5 linked regions of the Oryctolagus cuniculus genome follow. The protein of the gene in region 5 interacts with the protein of the main gene of each other region in a pairwise test. Links are inferred from orthologs where the notes say so. Each region holds a gene or a part of one and is shown on either strand. Other genes may lie near its edges. The genes, in order: ILF2, KLHL18, GET4, ECH1 and EEF1G.

What was found.
Region 1: the proteins of EEF1G (region 5) and ILF2 interact in a two-hybrid assay, tested with the Homo sapiens proteins (2 studies listed by BioGRID and IntAct). The two-hybrid records come from large-scale screens. The link is inferred for Oryctolagus cuniculus from reciprocal best matches to the Homo sapiens genes EEF1G and ILF2.
Region 2: the proteins of EEF1G (region 5) and KLHL18 interact in binary tests that used the Homo sapiens proteins (3 or more experiments, as listed by UniProt). The two-hybrid records come from large-scale screens. The link is inferred for Oryctolagus cuniculus from reciprocal best matches to the Homo sapiens genes EEF1G and KLHL18.
Region 3: the proteins of EEF1G (region 5) and GET4 interact in a two-hybrid assay, tested with the Homo sapiens proteins (2 studies listed by BioGRID and IntAct, with this or other methods). The link is inferred for Oryctolagus cuniculus from reciprocal best matches to the Homo sapiens genes EEF1G and GET4.
Region 4: the proteins of EEF1G (region 5) and ECH1 interact in a two-hybrid assay, tested with the Homo sapiens proteins (2 studies listed by BioGRID and IntAct). The link is inferred for Oryctolagus cuniculus from reciprocal best matches to the Homo sapiens genes EEF1G and ECH1.

What each region holds. Positions count from the first base shown.
Region 1 is NC_091438.1:44,651,044-44,655,057, forward strand, and holds the start of ILF2 (interleukin enhancer-binding factor 2), read left to right. Parts: upstream 1-1,178; 5' UTR 1,179-1,245; coding exon 1,246-1,250; exon of another isoform or gene 1,251-1,296; coding exon of another isoform or gene 1,297-1,307; intron 1,308-1,628; coding exon 1,629-1,679; intron 1,680-1,805; coding exon 1,806-1,865; intron 1,866-2,103; coding exon 2,104-2,146; intron 2,147-2,805; coding exon 2,806-2,910; intron 2,911-3,244; coding exon 3,245-3,322; intron 3,323-3,641; coding exon 3,642-3,744; intron 3,745-4,014. UniProt on the Homo sapiens protein: Chromatin-interacting protein that forms a stable heterodimer with interleukin enhancer-binding factor 3/ILF3 and plays a role in several biological processes including transcription, innate immunity or cell growth.
Region 2 is NC_091441.1:101,515,403-101,518,938, forward strand, and holds part of KLHL18 (kelch-like protein 18), read right to left. Parts: intron 2,077-3,536; coding exon 1,972-2,076; intron 439-1,971; coding exon 327-438; intron 1-326. UniProt on the Homo sapiens protein: Substrate-specific adapter of a BCR (BTB-CUL3-RBX1) E3 ubiquitin-protein ligase complex required for mitotic progression and cytokinesis.
Region 3 is NC_091450.1:36,346,609-36,350,711, forward strand, and holds the start of GET4 (Golgi to ER traffic protein 4 homolog), read left to right. Parts: upstream 1-1,275; 5' UTR 1,276-1,420; coding exon 1,421-1,569; intron 1,570-2,904; exon of another isoform or gene 2,905-3,015; coding exon of another isoform or gene 3,016-3,038; intron 3,039-4,103. UniProt on the Homo sapiens protein: As part of a cytosolic protein quality control complex, the BAG6/BAT3 complex, maintains misfolded and hydrophobic patches-containing proteins in a soluble state and participates in their proper delivery to the endoplasmic reticulum or alternatively can promote their sorting to the proteasome where they undergo degradation.
Region 4 is NC_091449.1:15,916,413-15,919,948, forward strand, and holds the end of ECH1 (delta(3,5)-Delta(2,4)-dienoyl-CoA isomerase, mitochondrial), read left to right. Parts: intron 1-1,433; coding exon 1,434-1,558; intron 1,559-1,641; coding exon 1,642-1,690; intron 1,691-1,874; coding exon 1,875-1,939; intron 1,940-2,354; coding exon 2,355-2,425; intron 2,426-2,520; coding exon 2,521-2,592; intron 2,593-2,802; coding exon 2,803-2,953; intron 2,954-3,073; coding exon 3,074-3,178; 3' UTR 3,179-3,323; downstream 3,324-3,536. UniProt on the Homo sapiens protein: Isomerization of 3-trans,5-cis-dienoyl-CoA to 2-trans,4-trans-dienoyl-CoA.
Region 5 is NC_091432.1:8,978,000-8,982,055, reverse strand, and holds the start of EEF1G (elongation factor 1-gamma), read right to left. Parts: upstream 2,820-4,056; 5' UTR 2,810-2,819; coding exon 2,798-2,809; intron 2,151-2,797; exon of another isoform or gene 1,944-2,150; coding exon of another isoform or gene 1,929-1,943; intron 1,708-1,928; coding exon 1,549-1,707; intron 896-1,548; coding exon 832-895; intron 677-831; coding exon 534-676; intron 1-533. Other genes in the region: TUT1 (speckle targeted PIP5K1A-regulated poly(A) polymerase), read right to left, coding at 3,900-4,056. UniProt on the Homo sapiens protein: Probably plays a role in anchoring the complex to other cellular components.

The sequences.
Region 1 (4,014 bases), on a different chromosome or scaffold from region 5:
GCTTCACTTGCCAGATGCACAGTATTTGCATTTAAATCGATGCCATCACTTGGGCTTTTTGTAACCTTTCCACGCCTCAGCGTTGGTTAATGTTGTTAATGTCCCCTCTCGCTCACTGCAAGTTCCTTCACTCTGCTTTGCCCTGGCCGGGAAAGCAGCCGCTCTGGTTCCTCTGATCAGGGTGCATCGTATGTATTCTCTTTTCGTCTGGCTTCTTTCGCTTGACACGGTCCGGGTTCCTCCATGTTTTTGCACTCGTCAGCGATCTGCTCTTGTTAGATTTTCGTAGCACTCCGTTGTGTACACATAGACCAATTTGTCATCCACTCTCCATGAATTCAGTACGGCCAACTCGCCGAGACACGTGTAAATACCTCTAGGTTGTTTCCAGTTCGGGCCTCACTTTTCTGGGGACCACCACAAGGGGCTGCAGGCCCCCCCCCCCCCCCCCCCCCAGTGAGTGAGAGGGGACGCCGAGGAGGAACAAACGTTAAGGAAATGCAAATACCGTGTGTCCGTGTGGCCGGTGAGGGTGAGGCGGGATCATGCCAGGATTTGCAGGAGCAAAAAACAGGAACAGGAGAAGACGGGACCCGCCACTTTCTTGACTCTCCTTCTCTGATTTGTCATTCCAAGACTTTGTCAATTTTCCTTCTAACACCTCAAAGCTTGTTTCTCCACCACAGTCCATACACTCCTTCCCTTCTAGGGAAGGTACCTTTTACACGATGGCGGTAGAGGCAGAAGATGCGTTTCAAAAGCAGCAAAGATTGGCGAGATGGTTTTAAAGGAGGGAGTACTGTAGCAGCATGTGGAACTGAGAAGCGAAAAACAAAGCCCTTAGCAGAGGATGGTTTCGATCCATCGACCTCTGGGTTATGGGCCCAGCACGCTTCCGCTGCGCCACTCTGCTACTGGACACCAACCTTCCCGCTATTATAAAAGGCAATTCACTTGTTCGTCGTTTTTAAAGTCTATCCAGCGCCACCTAGTGTTGGCTCAAAAAATTTGTAATTACTGTCACGCCTGTTCTTATTGGCCGGTTCCTGGCACGATAGCCGTTTTTTATTGGTCCATAAGCCCGGTTCTCCAAAGCAAACCAATAAGCATAAGCGACAGAGCAAGGCGGGAGCCAATCGCAGCGCGTTTTGTTGGGACACGCCGGCCAGACGCCTTTCCAGTTGTCTGCTTCTCTGAGGAAAGGGGCGGTTGGTGCGGCCTCCATTGTTCGGTGTTAAGGGCGCCATGAGGTAGGGGGACCGAGGTGCTGGAAAGATTGTGGGTATCCGACCGAGAATGTTGGGAAGGTGGGTCGAGAGGAGTCGGAGGACCGGGCAGGGCCGCGCCTCTGCGGCCGGCCGGAACCCCGCGAACTCCGGGGCCGGCAGCGCGGGGAGCCCGGCGGGTGGAGGTGGGAGCGCGGGCCCGGCGTGGGCTGGGGCCGGGGCGGGGAGGCGGCGGGCGCCCGCCTCCGCGAGGGCGTCGTGCTCAGGCCGCCGGGGGAGCTTCCCCGCGTGCGGCGCTGGTCCTGACGGCCCGCGTGTGACGCCCGGCATGTGCCCGGCCGGGGCGCTGAGCGCCGGCTTTGGGGGCTGGCGTGCCCCCGGGTTATAGGGTCTTTCTCGCAGGGGCGCTGCGCGACGCTGTTACCTGGCGGATAAGTCGTCCGGCAGCAGGAGGTCACGAGCAGTGGGGGGCCGGGCGCCATTCGGGACGCGGGGTGGGAGGGGGCGGCGGCGGGCGGCCGGCGGGAAGCGAGGCCGGGCCGCGGCGGCTCCCAGGCAGTAACGTCTGTGCATTTCCAGGGGTGACAGAGGCCGTGGTCGCGGTGGGCGCTTCGGCTCCAGAGGCGGCCCGGGCGGAGGGTGAGTGCCAGTTTTCCTTGCTAGTTTGGGGCACCTAAGAGGAGGTTGGCGGGGTCTGAGGGTGTTTTTGTGCGAGCCGGCTGCGGGGTCACACCCTGCTTCTGCTGCGGGCCTTGCTCAGAAGCCCACTCGGCCCTCCGCAAGCTGTGCGTCTGTGTTTTCCAAATTGCTGGTGCATCGTGTACATCTTGCTTGATTGCTGTGTGCTGAATAATTTGAGCTGTTTGTCTTGTTGCAGGTTCAGGCCCTTTGTGCCGCATATCCCATTTGATTTCTATTTGGTAAGTGCTTTGGGTTGGTGAACGGGTCCTGACCCCTGGTCACCAGCAGATGGAGAAGTGGTGGAGGCCAACAGCCCCCTGACATGGTGGTCGCAGTAGGAGAAGGGATTTGGGAACGGCCTTGGGGTTGTGTGTTAGCATACTTGGCAATAACCTGATTATAATCTTTGAACAACTCATTGCATCTCTGGCTTATTTGTTAATATAAAGGTAGTAAGAACATAAATTATGGCTGTTCTTCTGGGTCCTTGTTGGAAGGTTTTTTCAAAAGATTTATTTATTTGAAAAGCACAGTGTCAGAGAAATAAATATCTTGCATCCACTGTTTCATTCATCAAATGGCCACGATAGCCAGGGCTGGGTCAGGCTGGAGCCAAGAGCCAGGAATTGCATCCTGGTCTCTCACATGGGTGACAAGGGCCCAGGAACTTGGGACATCATCCACTGCGTTCCCAAGATCATTAGCAGGCAGCTGGATTGGAAGTGGAGCAGCCGGGACTCTGTTATCAGAAGCCAGTGGCAGCTTAACCCACTGCACCGCAAGTGTTGCAGAATTTTCTGTGTTCAAGTTTTTCTGTTGCACTAATAGAGGAATAAAACCAGTCTCTCCTGTATGTTGTTGGTGGTCAATGGTTTATACTTGTTTGTTGGTGATTTAGTGTGAAATGGCTTTCCCCCGGGTCAAGCCGGCCCCTGATGAGACTTCCTTCAGTGAAGCTTTGCTGAAGAGGAATCAGGACCTTGCTCCCAATTCTGCCGAACAGGTGTGTGCTCGTGGCTCCCTTTCTGAGCTTTCTCCACAGAAGGGAAGTGGAGAGTAAGAATAGGTTCCCTGAGCCTGAGGCCCACCAAAGCTTGCATTCTTGTCTCACTGTGGTTGGAGATGGGGAGCGAGGTGAGCGTCTTAAACACATGGCATAGACATTTGTATTTTCACTGGGGAATCTGTCTGTGGCAAGTTCAAGACCAGAAGCACTGAGTTGTTTTTAGAACCTTCTGTTGATGGCTGGCAGCTTCCACAGAAGGGATCAGGAGAAAATATCCAAACTCAGAGCAATTGCTTACAACTTTTCATTTTGGGATTTTACTGTTTTTCAGGCTTCTATCCTTTCTCTGGTGACAAAAATAAACAATGTGATTGACAATTTGATTGTGGCTCCGGGGACATTTGAAGTGGTGAGTTTCTGATGACAGCCCCAGGAAAGGGCGGCCTTGGTGATGTGCAGATTTCCTTGGCTCCTGTCTCTTAGTTTTTCAGTTGCCTGAACCTGGACAGTACAGTGGGATTCCTTTCTTTGTTAATACTGATCCTGGGGATACGGTTTGTGTTGATACCAGCCGGCCATGACGGGCCAGGCTTTCATGTGGTTTCTTGGGGTAGGATTTTACCTTTGCTACTTCCAAGTCTGAGTAATAGGAAGCTGTTACCTATCACAGAGTTCTGAGAGCATCGAGGCATCTGAAATTTTTTTTCCTGAAATCTCTTTCCCAACAGCAAATTGAAGAAGTCCGGCAGGTAGGATCTTACAAAAAGGGAACAATGACTACAGGACACAATGTGGCTGACCTGGTGGTGATACTCAAGATCCTGCCGACGTGTGAGTGTCTGTCTTGTGACAGTGGGAACGGAATGTGGCAGGTTCTATGGCTTGAGGCCTAGGCTCTTTAAAGCTCAGCTTTCTTGTGAGAAAAGATTCTTTTTACAACATGACAAAGGAGAAACTGGAGTGAGTGAAAGAATGTATGGCCGGTTCTATAAGGCAGTATTTCTCAACTGGAGGCAGCCTGGGGAGGGGAGGCAAAAGAATGAGCCCATCCAGAATGTTATCTTTGCCCCCGATCTGAAAACCCAGTCCATAAAATAGAAG
Region 2 (3,536 bases), on a different chromosome or scaffold from region 5:
GACAGAGTTCTTTCATGTGCTGGTTCTCTCCCCAAGTGACTGCAACAGCTGGAGGAAGGCTGATCTGAAGCCAGGAGCCAGGAGTTTCTTTTGGGTCTCCTACATGGGGGTAGGGGACCCAAGCACTTGGGCCATCTTCCACTGCTTTCCCAGGCCATTAGCAGAGAGCTGGATCAGAAGTGGAGCAGCTGGGACTCGAACCAGTGCCCATACAGATGCTGGCGCTGCAGGCGGAGGCTATAACCTACTACACCACAGCACCTGCCTCCAAAATAACTCAACATGGAAGGAGTAGGTGCCCTTAGCCCAAGAGGAGCCCGACTCACACTGTTGAAGATCTGCAAACCATCATGGCCGCCCGACACATATATCCTGCCCTCAAAGACCGTAACCCCAGCGGCACTGCGATTCGAGCTCATCGGGGTCACCACTGTCCACCTTTAAAAAAGAGTCAAAATAAAGAGAAGACATGAGAGCTGGTCTCCTAAGACAACTTACCAGGGCTTGGGTGGACCGTGGATAATCTCCCCACATTTTACCAGCTTTCCCATCACTTCTGTTGCTGCCTCTCATCCAAGTGCAGACACACAGCCCATCTTCTCTGCTCTTTTCCATGTGCACTCCAACCCAGCATGTATCAAACCAGGCCTCTTTCTCCCACATATCTGCTCCTCTCATGTCTACTCCCTCATCCTGTTAATGGGACCACCAGCTATCTCCTTGCTGCACTTAATAAAAGTCAGAATTTGGGGGGCTGCTTCTCCCTCACCCTTAACATTCTTGTGGTCCCCAAGTCCTGGCTGGTTTGTTTTCTGGTTGCTGCTTGTTCCCATCTCCATCCTTTTGCCATAGCTCTGGCCTCTCACCCCGACTATAGGAACAGCCTCCTTACCAGCGGCCTGGCTTTCAGACCACTTCCCATTCCAACCCATGTAGCCAGTGGCTGTACCACAGCCCTCGTCTAAGGCAGTTTCCAAGTTCCTTAATGTGTTTTTTACCACTTTGTCCTCACCCACTTTGCAGAGCCACCCCTTGCCACACTGTATGTTCCAGCCCACTGGAGGCTAACTGCTGTCCTCGCCACTGTGAACACTTTCTTACCGAAGAAAGTGCTGGCTCCCTGCTCATGATGAGCAGCCTCTCCCACTGTCTACCCATGATAGGTCTCACCTTGGAAGACATCCCGGCCACTCTGCCTCTCCTCCCAGCCCCAGGGAGGAGGAAGGTGCTCCCCAATCTCTGCCCAAGAGCACCAGACACAAGCCTCCCGGGTAGGATGACAACGCATTCATTATGAAATACTGAGTATTACTTTAAGGATCTCATAGCCAGCTTATGGCCTGACATCTAGTAAGTTCGTGAAGTGACAGTATACTAGCTCAAAAGCATCCTGATGAGTCCACTCAACCCATTTGCTTATATTTTGTTACACAATATGAGAGTGTTCAGGCTAATCTTGTGTTTTCCAAAGACTGTTTCACAAAATAACCTCAAGATGTTGCTAGGTATTATATAAAACACAAGGTTAAACTTCACTCTAGAAGTTTTCAGAGCCTTTAAAATGTTAACAGGGATTATGGAAAGACAAGGACTCTGGTGGTACAGACATCAACATTTCCCAAGCTTATCTGATCATATAACGTCTTTCTTTTTTTCCAAATCATATCCTGCTCACTTTGGAACATGTTGCTGGTCTACTTCCTATTCTCTTTCACTTGCATTTCCATTAAAATAGGCTGACTGATTAAGAGGTACAGACCACCAAACAAATGCTTCCAAGTATCTGTATAGATCGTTTGAAAAAATTATTCAACAATTCGTTCATTTAACCAAGGATGTGTAGCACAGCCTATCACACACAAGACATTATAGGTTAAGATTTGTCTACAGTCAAGAAGTCTGTGGTCCCAAGTTTTTTCACACACTCTGCTCAGTAAGCTCCAGTTGCCCCAGAGGAGCCAGAACCCTTACTTATCCGTCTCAGGCGAGTAGGTCTCCACAGAGTTGAGGGAAGAGTTTCCATCGTAGCCCCCACACACGTAGATCTGCCCGTCCAGCACGACTGTCCCCATGGCACTGAAACAGACAGAGCTGTCATTCCAGATGGGCCTCAGACTCCCAGTGCTGCCTCTTATGTCCACAAGAAGTTAACCTATCAATGCCTTTTTCTGCCTGAAATGCTCCCTTCCAACCTGCCATGCTGATGGTCTCATTTACCTTTACTGCCCAGGTCAAATTCCTCTTGCCTCTCCCTCCTTAAAAGCTACCTGAGACCCCTCAAACAAGACTTACTCTCTTCCAACCCCACATTCCCACAGCTGCTTCTTTCTTTATTTCATCACTTGTTGCAATCATTCATTTATTCATCCATCATATTTTTATCAGTCACTCACAGGGCACACTGTCTCAGGCACTGGGTTTAGAGTGGTGAGTAAGCCCAAGCTTTTGCCCCCAAGACACTTATGTTCTGACACTATGGAATACTAGGGCTCGGTCTGCCACCTCTAAACAAGACAGGGAAGGTCTTCATATGTGTGACCTTGACAGTAATTAGTGTAGTGTCTGGAATATAAGAGGCCCTCAGTATATGTTCACTGTGTTACCTCAGATTCTTCCCACTCAAAATAACAGATGTGTTTTCATTACACACATGGCCTTGTCTGATGCCTAATTTGTCTAAGTGGGTGATGCATGTCAGGTGCTTTACACTTAATAGATTTTTTAAAATTTTGTAACAGGAACTTCACAAAATTGTATACTTCATTCGTTTCAAATGGATACATGGTTTTTAATCATAAGTACTTCAAGAGCAGTAAGTTCTCAAGATTCTTAATATTGAAATTATTTTTTTCTGCTCATACGTATTCAGTTTTCTTTATTTTCTTTTGGTACTCTACTTATTAGCTACCACTACACTTACTATTTTCAACCCTCTCCATGCCCTGCAAGAAGTGTGGGTCACTATCATAACTGCACAAATGCACAGCTGGGGCTCAGAGGCTGGGTTTTCTCCAGCCTGCCCAGGGAGATAACTGCCTTCAATGTAAATGAGACAAGATCAACTCCCTGCCACTCACAAAGCCAAGTTCCCAGAGTAGTAAAGACCCAGGGGACTGGTGAAAACATTTAGTCTGCTTTGAGTCCTGGCTGTTACACTTCTGATCTAGCTCCCTTTTAATGCGCCTGGGACAACAGTGGAAGATGGCTGCAGTGTCTGGGCTCCTGTCACCCACACGGGAGACCTGGATGGAATTCCAAGCTCCTGGTTTCGACTTGGCCTAGCCCCAAGTGTTGTGGACATTTGGGCATTGAACCAGCAGATGGAAGATCTCTCCCTGTTTCTCCTTCTTTCATTGTAATTCTTTCAAACAAATAAAACAAAACTTGAAAAAAAGAGACAGATTAAACATCAATTAAGTGGTAAGACAAGTGTGTAGAGAAAAGGGAAAGTGTTGATCAGTGTGGACTGGAGTAGCCCAGAGCAATAAAGTTCCACGGAGGTGGCCTGGAAGACTGGAGGCAACAGGAAGGAAAAG
Region 3 (4,103 bases), on a different chromosome or scaffold from region 5:
CGCTGCCGGTTCTGCACGCGCAGACCGGAGCGCGTTCAGGGCTGGCGCTGCGCGGCGACACAGCTCACACGTGCACCAGGATCTCCTACGTGAGACTCGGTCCGGAGCGGGTGGACATATTTTGCATATTTATTTTTGAAGATAGGACTTTGTGCAATGTATTTTTGTAAATGCTTTTCAGAATACGTCTTTGGTAATGCTTCTTACGCGGACACCAGTTGATAAGATGCTACTGAAATGTTTAAATAAATAAAGAGTTTTAATTTTTACAGTGCATGTGGTGTTTAAACCAGCAAGCCGTGCGCTCTCCTCGGGTTGTCTGCGCCTTTGCATTTACAGGCAGAACTGGAGGCGCAGACGGAGGCACAGAGCTCCTCTGCCCGCCCGCCTGCTGCCCCGCTGGCCACCCCGCCATCGGCGGGCGGCCCGGGGAGGGGAGTGACCGTGACGTGGCCACGCCTGCGGCTCAGCCCACGCGGGCGCCGGCTCGAGACCCCGCGGCTCCGCGTCCCGGGCCGTGAGCGGGAGCGGGGCCGGAAGCGGAGCCGGGGCTCGAACCCACGCGCTGCAGGCGGCGGCTTCACCCGCCAGACACGAGTCGCCCCCTCGGCCTGAGCGGTGCCCCCATCATGGTCGGCCGTGCGTTCGTCGCCGGCTCGGTTTCCACGAGGGGCCGGGGCACCCGCGGACGCGGGTCCCTCGCGCTCTGGGGCGGCCCCGTAGGCGCGGGCCCCTCGCGCTCTCCCGGCGGCCCCGTGGACGCGGGTCCCTCGCGCTCTCCGGGCGGCCCCGTAGACGCGGGCCCCTCGCGCTCTCCGGCGGCCCCGTGGGCGCGGACCCCTCGCGTTCTCCCGCGGCCCCGTGGACGCGGGCCCCTCGCGCTCTGGGGCGGCCCCGTGGGCGCGGGCCCCTCGCGCTCTCCGGGCGGCCCCGTGGACGCGGGCCCCTCGCGCTCTGGGGCGGCCCCGTGGGCGCGGGCCCCTCGCGCTCTGGGGCGGCCCCGTGGGCGCGGGCCCCTCGCGCTCTGGGGCGGCCCCGTTGGCGCGGGCCCCTCGCGCTCTCCCGCGGCCCCGTGGACGCGGGCCCCTCGCGCTCTCCGGGCGGCCCCGTGGGCGCGGGCCCCTCGCGCTCTCGGGGCGGCCAGCGTCCAGGGCCGCGTCAGCCATTGTGCTGCGAGCGCGCGCCCGGCCCGCGTCAGGTGGTAGCCCGCGGCTCCGCCCCCGGGCCACGTGCCCCTCGCCACAGGCGGCCCGGCTGCTGAGTCACGTGTGCCCACCGCGCAGCGCCCCGCGCCTGCGTGCGGCTCCTCGCGGCCACCGTAGAGGGCGTGGCGCGGCCGCGGGACGGAAGCCGGGAGGGAGTCGCCGCCGACCGCCCCTGCGACAGCGACAGCGTCAGCCCTGCGCGGAGCGCCGGCCCGATGGCGGCGGCGATGGCCGAGCAGGAGAGCGCCCGCAACGGCGCGCGCAACCGCGGCGGCGTCCAGCGCGTGGAGGGCAAGCTGCGCGCCAGCGTGGAGAAGGGCGACTACTACGAGGCGCACCAGATGTACCGGACGCTCTTCTTCAGGTAGCCGCGGCGCGGCGCGTCCGCCCGGCCCGGCCCGCCCCCGCCCGCCTCCTATTGGTCGCGCCGCGCCAGCCCGCGCCCCCATTGGTCCGCGCGGCTGCCTGTCGGAGGCCGAGGCCGGCCGGGCGCGGGGGGCTGGGGCGGCGGGCGGGGGGCTGCGGGCGGCCGGCCCGGCTTGACCCGGCCTGACCCGGCCCGGCGCGGCCGCGGCCTCCCCTCCGCGAGCTGCGAGCCGGCTGGGGCGTCCCCGCGGGCGGCACGGCCGTCGGGCGCCCTGACCGTGGGGCGACCCCTCGGCGCGGCCTGCGGCCCGGCCCGCCCCCGGCGCCGGCGTGGCCGCCATGCGAGCCCGCGGCTCAGGCCCGGCCCGGCGCCCGCTGTTTCGTGAGGCTGAGTTTCGGGGCAGGTTCGGTTCTCGGTAACTCGCGTGGGACGTGCGTGCCAGCCCTGGGGCCCGTGGTGAGAGTCGCTGGGCTTCGCGGGGCGCGGGGGCGCAGGGTCTGAGGCCCCGGCCGGGGGACACCGGGCAGAGGACGGGCGTGGGGCCAGCACCCCCGTCCCGGGCAGAGGACGGGCGTGGGGCCAGCACCCCCGTCCCGGGCAGAGGACCGAGCGTTGGGCCAGCACCCCCGTCCCGGGCAGAGGACCGAGCGTTGGGCCAGCACCCCCATCCCGGGCAGAGGACCGAGCGTGGGCCCAGCACCCCCGTCCCGGGAAGAGGACCGAGCGTGGGGCCAGCACCCCCGTCCCGGGAAGAGGACCGAGCACGGGGCCAGCACCGCCGTCCTGGGAAGAGGACCGAGCACGGGGCCAGCACCGCCATCCCGGACAGAGGACCGAGCGTGGCCAGCACCGCCGTCCCGGGAAGAGGACCGAGCACGGGGCCAGCACCGCCATCCCGGGCAGAGGACCGAGCGTGGCCAGCACCGCCCGTCCCGGGCAGAGGACCGAGCGTGGGGCCAGCACTCCCGTCCCAGGAAGAGGACTGAGCACGGGGCCAGCACTCCCATCCTGGGCAGAGGACTGAGCGTGGGGCTAGCACCCCTGTCCCGGGCAGAGGACTGAGTGTGGGGCCAGCACCGCCGTCCCGGGAAGAGGACCGAGCGTGGGGCTAGCACCCCTGTCCCGGGCAGAGGACTGAGCGTGGGCCCAGCACCCCTGTCCCGGGAAGAGGACCGAGCGTGGGGCTAGCACCCCTGTCCCGGGCAGAGGACTGAGCGTGGGCCCAGCACCCCTGTCCCGGGAAGAGGACCGAGCGAGGCCAGCACCGCCCTGCCTTGGCGTCTGTTGCCTCCACAGCCCTGCTGTGCCCCGGGTAGGGAGTGTGTGTGGAGTCCCGGGCTCCTGGCCGAGGAGGAGGTGTGAGTCGCTCTCCTAAGTGACCTGAGACAGGTCTGGTTCCGGAACCTTCTGTGCAGTGACGCCCGGCAGTCAGGCTGCGAGGAGATGGGTTCAGGAGGAGGTTTGAGGTCGTGCAGCCTTCACCCCGGGGTGGTCATGTCCATGCCCGTGGGCTGCTCTGGGCGCGCTGGCTCCCCGCGGCTGCCGTGGGCTGCTCTGGGCGCGCTGGCTCCCCGCGGCTGCCGTGGGCTGCTCTGGGCGCGCTGCCTCCCCGCGGCTGCCGTGGGCTGCTCTGGGCGCGCTGCCTCCCCGCGGCTGCCGTGGGCTGCTCTGGGCGCGCTGCCTCCCCGCGGCTGCCGTGGGCTGCTCTGGGCGCGCTGGCTCCCCCGCGGCTGCCGTGGGCTGCTCTGGGCGCGCTGGCTCCCCGCGGGCTGCATCGCTCCTCGGGGAGCAGTGGTGTGGGGTGTGTGCGCACCGTCCCGTCTGGACCTGCGCCCCCGAGATGAGACGGGTGCTGGTCTTGGGGACCGGGATGTAGGTGTTTGCATGGTGACTGATCACGAGTGTCTCTTCCTGGAAACACACTGCCTCGCGTGGGCCAGGTCCGCAGGGCTTGGTTGTTAACCCTTAAAGCTGGTTCACTCCCAAGGCAGAGCTGGGCCAGGCTGAAGCCAGGAGCCTGGCCCTCCGTCTGGGTCTCCACGTGGGTGCAGGGACACGGCACTGGGCCGCCGTCCACGGCTTTCTCAGGCCGTGAGCCGGGAGCTGGGGAGAGCTGGGGCAGCCGGAACTCCAGGCGGCACCGCGGGCCTGGCCCTGGTGTGACCCTCAGTGGACGAGTGCGTCCATGGAGGCTGCGTTTCTGCCAGACCCCCCACTGGGGCCCGGGACGCAGCACACGCGTCCCCAGGTGCACTCTGGGAGTGCGGCCTCTCGGAAGTGGGAGTCCCCGAGTTAGCTGGGGTTCTGATGTGTGTCATGCGTTTGCATATTGCCAGGCAACCAGTCACGTGGGCCGGGCCCGCCCCCCAGTGGCTGCCGTCAGCCCTTCTGGGTTGATGGGCTTCTAGAACCCCGCGCAGTGCAGTCACGGTGGGGGCGCCTGTTTGGATTCTGAATGCGCTGAGCGGGGTGGGGGTCCCTGCGGGTGTCTTAGTCCGCTTTGTTGCTGACGGGGTCTTCGCCTGCTCAGT
Region 4 (3,536 bases), on a different chromosome or scaffold from region 5:
AGATTCAAATCCCCTTCCCCACTGGTTCACTCTCCAAACGCCCGCAACAGCCAGGAGCCCAGAACTCCATCCTGGTCTCCCGCATGGGTGGCAGGGACCCAAAGCACTATGGCCGTTCCCTGCTGCCTCCCAGGGTGCGCATTAGCAGGGAGCCGGATCGGAAGCAGATGAGCCTGGACTGACCCCACGCTCCAATATGGGCTGCAGGTGTCAGAAGCTCGACCAGTGTGCCTGACACCGGCCCCACATTGTCTTCATTGTTTGTCTTATCTGAGAGCAGGGGCTGTCACTGTTTGCTTTCTGAGCAGCCACTGTGTCCCGGGCCTGGGCCCAGGCACTGGGGAGAGAGCAGTGGACAGACACACACAGGCCCCTGCGTCTTGGAGCTCACATCCCAGAAAGAGAAGCAGGTGCTCAACCAGACCAGCACAGCGTCCGTGACAGCGAGATGTGCGGCAGGGCAGAACCAGCAGATGGATGGAGGGGCCCCGGCCGGCCGCCATGCGGCAGAGCCACGGTGTCTCATAGTTGGAACGGTTGGAGGCCGGCCGGAAGTGATGGCTGCGCAGCCTGGGAGGTCCCAGCATGAACTTGGCATTTTATTCTGTTCTCTACTGGGCTGTGCACAGGTTCCCCCGGCTGTGTGTGGGGAGCGGGCAGGAGCAGGGGGAGGGGCACGGAGGTTGGCTGGGGTCGGAAAGGTCAGGTTCAGGATTATCTTGAAGTTGGAGGCACGAACTCTGCACCCCCTGCTCTTCGCGTCTCAGGAAACATCGCCACCAAGGAGCTCGTGCCTGTGGCTCCTTAGGCCGACAGGTGTGAGGGGGAGCACAGCCCCTGGAGTCAGCCGCGTGGTCCCGTGGTCTGAAACCTCAGTGCTGCCAGGCACTTAACCTCTCTGTGCCGTTAACCCATCGGGAAGGGGTTGGCCTTGTGGCACAGTGGGTTAGCCGCCTCCTGTAGTGCCGACATCCCACACGAGCCCTGGTCCGAGTCCCGGCTGCTCCACTTCTGATCCAGCTCCCTGCAGAGGAAGATGGCGCATGCGCTTGGGCTCCTGCCACCCTTGGTGAGGGGACCCAGATGGAGTGGTGGCCACTGGGGGATGAACCAGTGGATGGAAGATCTCTCTCTCTCTCTCCCTCTCCCTCTCCCCCTCTTTCTCTCTCTTTCTTTCCCATGAATAAATAAATGTTTTTAGGAAAATCAGTGCGGCAGCAGTAGCGACAGGACCAGGGCACAGCTTGCTGGGGCATGAGCGAGAGCCGGGTGCTGGCTCCCCTGTTTCAGGCCTGCTCCTGCTCGCAGCCCCTCGCGCGTGCTCTCTGGTGGCTGGGGGACTTTGGGCCTGCTGCGCCTGGCTTTGGGCTGCCAGCTGGGGCAATGGGTGGGGTCTATGAGGCTAGGTGAGCCCCCTGCCACCCCCTCACCAGGCATCGACCTCATGGACGTGGGTTCCGACCTCCTGCAGCCGCAAGGAGACGACCCGGCCCGCATCAGCTGGTACCTCCGTGACCTCATCCGCAGGTACCAGGAGACCTTCAGCGTCATCGAGAAGGTGACTCTGGGGCACCACGGGCCATCCCTGCCACCTGCCTCTCCGCCGCCAGCCCTGACCCCGCCCCTCCTGTTCCCTTCCAGTGCCCCAAGCCCGTGATCGCCGCCATCCACGGGGGCTGCATTGGCGGGGGTGAGTCTGCAGCCGCCTGCCTCCCACCAGGGTGCGCCTGCTGGGGTAGGGGTGGGGGGCTGCCCCTCCCTGGCCGCGAGCCTCCAGCCTCAGCTCTGTGGCTGTCTCGAGACGCAACCCCACCTCCCAGGAGGAGGGGCTTAGTGCTTGTGGTTGCTCAGTGTCCCCGGCTTCTGCCTGCCAGGTGTGGACCTAGTCACCGCCTGTGACATCCGGTACTGTGCCCAGGATGCTTTCTTCCAGGTGAAGGTAAGGTGCCCCCCCCAGCTCCTTCCCCGGGTGCTGCTGGCAGTTGGGCAGTGAGCGATCGGCCTGGGCAGAGCAGGGACAGTGCCAGCCGCCGGGGGGCAGGGGGGCTGGGGGAGTCAGAATTGAATTTTTCCAAGGAAGCCTCAGCCGGCCGTGGAGGAAGACAAGGGCAAGGGGTCCAGGTGAAGTCATAGTGGGGAAGGGTGTGGCCAAGGGGGCAGGGGATGGTGGGGAGGTGGGTGGCAGAATGGAGCTCCCAGCGCAGTGAAGGCGTTGGCAGGGACGGCCAAGGAGGCTTCCCTCCGGAGATGCAGGGCTCAGGCCCCCCCTCCCAGGAAGGGACCTGCACAACCCACTGCTGTCTGGGCCAGCCTGGTGCAGGCGCCCGACGGCTCTGCCGCCCTTGCCCCCGCAGGAGGTGGACATAGGCTTGGCTGCTGATGTGGGGACGCTGCAGCGGCTGCCCAAGGTCATCGGAAACCAGAGGTCGGCAGGATACGGCCGGGGAGGGAGCCGCAAGGCAAGGGGTCTCCAGGCCCCGGGGTGAGGGCCGTCTGCTCACGCGCCCTGGCCTCTTGCAGCCTGGTCAACGAGCTGGCCTTCACCGCGCGCAAGATGATGGCTGACGAGGCCCTGAGCAGCGGGCTGGTCAGGTAGGGTCAGCGCCACCTGGGCGCGCTCCCCGCTCCCCGGGTCCGTGTGACCTCCCTGAGTGCTCATTGCTTTCTTGGGGACGGGGTGGGGGGTGGGGGGTGGCTCTTGCCCGGCTGCCCTCGGGCCGGGTCACTGGGGTCTCCTGCCGGCCGCGGGAGTGGCGTGGAGCCCTGCTCAGCCCTCCTGACCGCCGCTCCCTTCCGTGGCAGCCGTGTGTTCCCGGACAAGGAGGTCATGCTGGACGCGGCCTTCGCCCTGGCGGCCGAGATTTCCAGCAAGAGCCCGGTGGCCGTGCAGAGCAGCAAGATCAACCTGGTCTACTCCCGGGACCACACCGTGGCCGAGAGCCTCAATTACATGGTAAGGCGCTCGCTCCTGCCACTCACAAGCCGCCCGGCCCGCAGAGCGCCCCCTGAGGGCCGCGCGGCTGGCTCTCTGCGCGCGCCTGCGCCTCTGATTGGGCCGCTGCTGATCCTCCAGGCGACCTGGAACATGAGCATGCTCCAGACCCAGGACATCATGAAGTCCGTCCAGGCCGCGATGGAGAAGAAGGACCTCAAAACCGTCGCCTTCTCCAAGCTCTGAGGGCCTCGCCCTGTGCCTCCCCGCGCAAGGCTCCCCTCCGCTGGGGTGGGGGACGCGCGGGCCGGGGCGCCTTCCCGCACCTCCCAGGCCGTAGCTGTAAGGTGCTGGCCTCCTCATCCTGGTGATCAATAAAGCCTTGTGAAGAGCCGGTGCCCTGAGCGGGGCGGGGGAGGGGGGGAGGGAGGGGGAGGGGCGGGACCGAAGTCCCGAGAGTCCTCACCCTGCGGCTCAGCCTAGCTGCTCCGGTGCCGCCGCAGTCCGGAAGGGCTCCCCTGCGACCCAGTCTGGAGCCGCTGGCCTCTTTCCTGCAAGTGTTGAGTTTGCGTGTCCATGTATGGTCCCAACCTCCCAGGTTTAT
Region 5 (4,056 bases):
ATTTGAAATCATCAAACTTCTCAGTGGGAAGCAATTCCCTTCCCTCAACCCTCCACAGAACTAAAAAAAGCTGCTTCACTGAATTGAGTCTGGCTCACCCAGACCAGCCCTCTTTCAATGGAGTCAGATTCTAAGATGATTCCAAATCACAAAGCTCTCCATGGTTAAATTTCTTTATGGCAGTCTGGCTTCATTTCCACAGTAATGATGGTACTCATTTATCTTTGGATAAGTAGATGGAATCTTGGACGTCATCTGGTTTAACTCTTCTACAACTTGGTAAACTTCCTACAACAGAAATCTCTCCTCTGATCTCTTATGACAGATAACACTTCCACTGACAAAAAAAAAAAAAAAAAAAAAAAAGCCAGACAGCACCCACTGTCCCACATGTATACTCCAAAGCCTACGTTTCCTCATTGCCCACACATCTGTGGTACTTTGCTTTCTCAGCCTATTGTATTTCTTACTCCCCAGCATGCAGAAGCTGATGCCAACCCTGCTCCTGCTTCTCCCCAAGTTCCGAGGCTCACCTGCTTGTTGTGATGCATGATGCCCAAGGTGGGGAACACCCAAGTGCTGGCTGGGGGCACTATGTCACTATCGGCAAAGCTCACCCACTGCACCACCTGGGCGGCTGCCTCTGGAGTACTTCCCCGCAGCTCCTCATTGCTCACTGCAGAGGCAGAACACAAAGAGCAGAACTTTGGGATCATGCCAACATAAGTCTAGGTTCCCAAGAATTCTTCCTTGTCCACTCCAGCTCACCCGCATCCTCTCCTACACCCTCACCTCCACACCCTCCCATTCCCATAAGTGCCTGTAAATTACCATAGTAGGCAATGGCGTTGCTCTCAAACACACAGAATCCATCATCACCTTCAAATGCTGGAACCTGGGGGCAAAACAGTGAAAACATAAAGTACATTTCATTAGCGAATCCCAGGAACTGAACTGCTTTGGACAAAACTGTCTACATAAGGCTGACAATTCTTGTAATCCAAACTCTTAATACCGTCTAACAAACAGACTTTGATAACTTGGTATCCCCTGTAATCTGAATTTGCCATGTCTAAACTAAGAAACCCAAAATATTTGGTTATTATAAGGTATTTGTATAGAAGTCTTCAAATACGAAGGGGCTAGAAACGAAGTTATACATGTTTGCTGTATCACTCACTGTATCTGGCCTACGCATATACACCTGATCCCTCCACTCTTAGTGAAGTAATTTCCCTATCTCTGTAAGCCCCTTGGATTAAAAACCTTGCTCACAATATATAATCTATATACTCACACTGAAATAGTTGGCCAAAACTCATTCTCTTTCTCAGAAATATAAAGCATGCCTGTCAGTTTTATAAAGTCACTGAGGAGCTATTATTTTTCACAACTACAATTATCTAAGAAAGTGTTCTTAACCACTGAAATGTGAAAGAAAATAACATGAGAAGCTGTCTTTTAAAGATAAGGCCCATCCCCAGAGTGACGGAATCAGGGCTCCTAAGGGTCCCAGGTCCAAAAGCCCCTCACCACTTCCTTACTCACCTTGCCAGCAGGGAATTTGCGGAGAAATTCAGGGGTTCGGTTGGTCTGGCCGAAGTGGAAGTGGGGGGGTGCGGAGAGCACGCGGACCTGAGCCCCGCTGTACTGAGCAGCGATGAGGGCCTTAAAGGCCCTCCAGTTTTCAGGGTATGTGTACAGGGTCTATGTAAGAAAAGGGGAAAAGATTAATGTGAGGAGGGGTCCCAGCCTGCGCGCCATATGCCAGCATGGCTTTCCTCAGCCATCACAATCGGTTCCGCTCACTTTTACTCCCTCGGGGAAACCAGGTTCCCTAGTGCTTGCCACATGTAATCAGAGTCCTCCGAAGCACCAAGCACAGAACTACGCATCAGCGGCTAAATAAAGCTCGGGGACAAACTGACCTTCCCTAAGGACATCTCGGGAAGCACTCATTCTCCTTCCCCTCATATTTATCTCCAAGAAGCCCAGCACTGCCTCCCTGAGACTCCGTCTGCCTACAAACCTACACCCCTGCCTTCCCGGGGGCTGCGTTTCATTCATTGACGGTTCCCCAGTGCCTGCCTACTCCACCGCTGAGCTCATCACTGCCTCAGAGCCACCAACCTCCTCTGCAAGGCACACACATCCGGACGTTTCAAGTTCCCCTCAGGATAGCCATCGAGACAACCAATAGCATGCCCTCTTCCTAAATCGACTCCTTGCCCTAAAAAGCCTTTCTTGCCGAGTCGCGCACGCCTTCCCTCCCGTCCCGTCCCGTCCCGCAGCGAGTTCCCAGCTTCTGCCATCTCGGAGAGCCCGGCCAGAGGGATCCATCCACCCGGTCTGGCCTCACCGTCCAGAGATGCCTCGCTCCCCCAAGCCTCCCTGAGCGGCAACCCCTAACCATGCCAGCCGAGCCTCTCCACAAAGACCCTCCTCTTCGCTCTGCCCCCGCTGCTGCCCCACAAAACGGCCGCGAAAGTTCCGCCAACCTGCCCGGATCCCGCGTCTCAACGAAGCAATGAAGCTGAACCCCCTGTCAGGCTCCAGACGGCCCAGATCCAGCATCTCATTGCTCCTCTACCCCAGACTCTTCCACCTCTGGCCTCGGAGAGCCCCAGCCTCAGTTCCCTTCCGGGCCCTAGGACCTCCGTTCTCCTACAGTACGGTCTGTAAACTCCGGATCGGTCCCCCACTCAGCTCCAGAACGCCTCCGGCGCCGACTGGCCCTACTCAGACAGAGGATGGCGGCGGATAAGGTGACCCGGCTCACTAGACCCGGCAAACTTACCCCGGCCGCCATGGTGATTCCGCAGAGAAAGGGGGTTGGGCTCTCAGCGCTGCCGCAAAGTAAGCCGCCAGGGAGAAAAGGGAGGGGGTAAGGGGAGAGCCGTGGAGAAACAGCAGCCGGAAAGCGAGGACGGCATAGAAGGCACACGCACGACAGTTCGGTATCCAGCCGCGTTGGAGGGGGTGGGGCCTGAGGGGCCGCGCAGCCGGCGCGCTGGGCTTGTGACTGGCCGGCCCTTCTGCTGCAACCGACCAATCAGAGCCCCGAGGTGGAGGTAGAAGGCGGGGGGGGGGAGGCGGGGGCGGGGAAACTGTGAGAACCGGCTAGCAGGGCCGCCCCTTCGCGGCTACGTGGCACAGCGGCCCACCCAGTGCGGCGCCGGCTCCCGCAGGCGCACCCCTCCCGCCTTCCTGCGGCAAGCGGCCTGACGGTAGGTTCTGCCAGCCCCTCGCATCGCCCGCGAAGCTCACGGGGCCGAGAAGCCAGAGCTGCGCGGAGGCGGGAGCTGGCGAGGTTCCTTTTGTTCCCGCTCTGGACTTGAGAGAGGAATGTACACGTAACAGGGGCTCGGGTCTGAAACCATCTGCCCGAGTGAGGTTCGCTCACATGACACTAGTTTGCAACTCCGCATGCTGGTACTGCGACAAGGACACCAGACCTCTGACCCGCAGCAGTTCAGGGGCGCAGGAGAACCCAGCCATGGGCCCTGCCACCCGCTTCGGAGCCTGCATTCTGCTGGGTTGCTTTTTACCCATGTTCCGGTGTGAAAATCTATTACTCAGTTGAAGAACGAGAATGGAAGAGGTCTGAACCCACATCTCCGGCTTTGACACCACGTGTAAACCCGGGGCAGCAGCCTCACTGGAGGCAGACTTGCTGCAAAGCCCGCAAGCACGGTCATTCGGGAACTCTGCCAGGTGCCTGCAGGCAGTGCTAAGTGGGAAGACCAGGGTGATCGGGGTCAGACAAGGCAGATCTGAGAGGGCTGTATTAAGGTGTGGGAGAGCCCAAGAAGGAGGCGGAAAGTACCGGGAGAAAATCAGAGAAAACTGGAGAGTATTTGTATTAAACTAGCAGCTTTATTGCCCTCTATGGCCCATGTTCACTTGAGGAGATTTCGCAGTGCTTGAGGGAGGAAAACTTGTAAGAAGTGATAGAGGTCAGGGAACAGGCCCTGGGAATCCCGGAGAGGGGTCACAGTGAGAGTCTGGTCAGCTTGGGAGGCAGACACGATGAAGGTCAGGAGGGGGTCAGTTTCT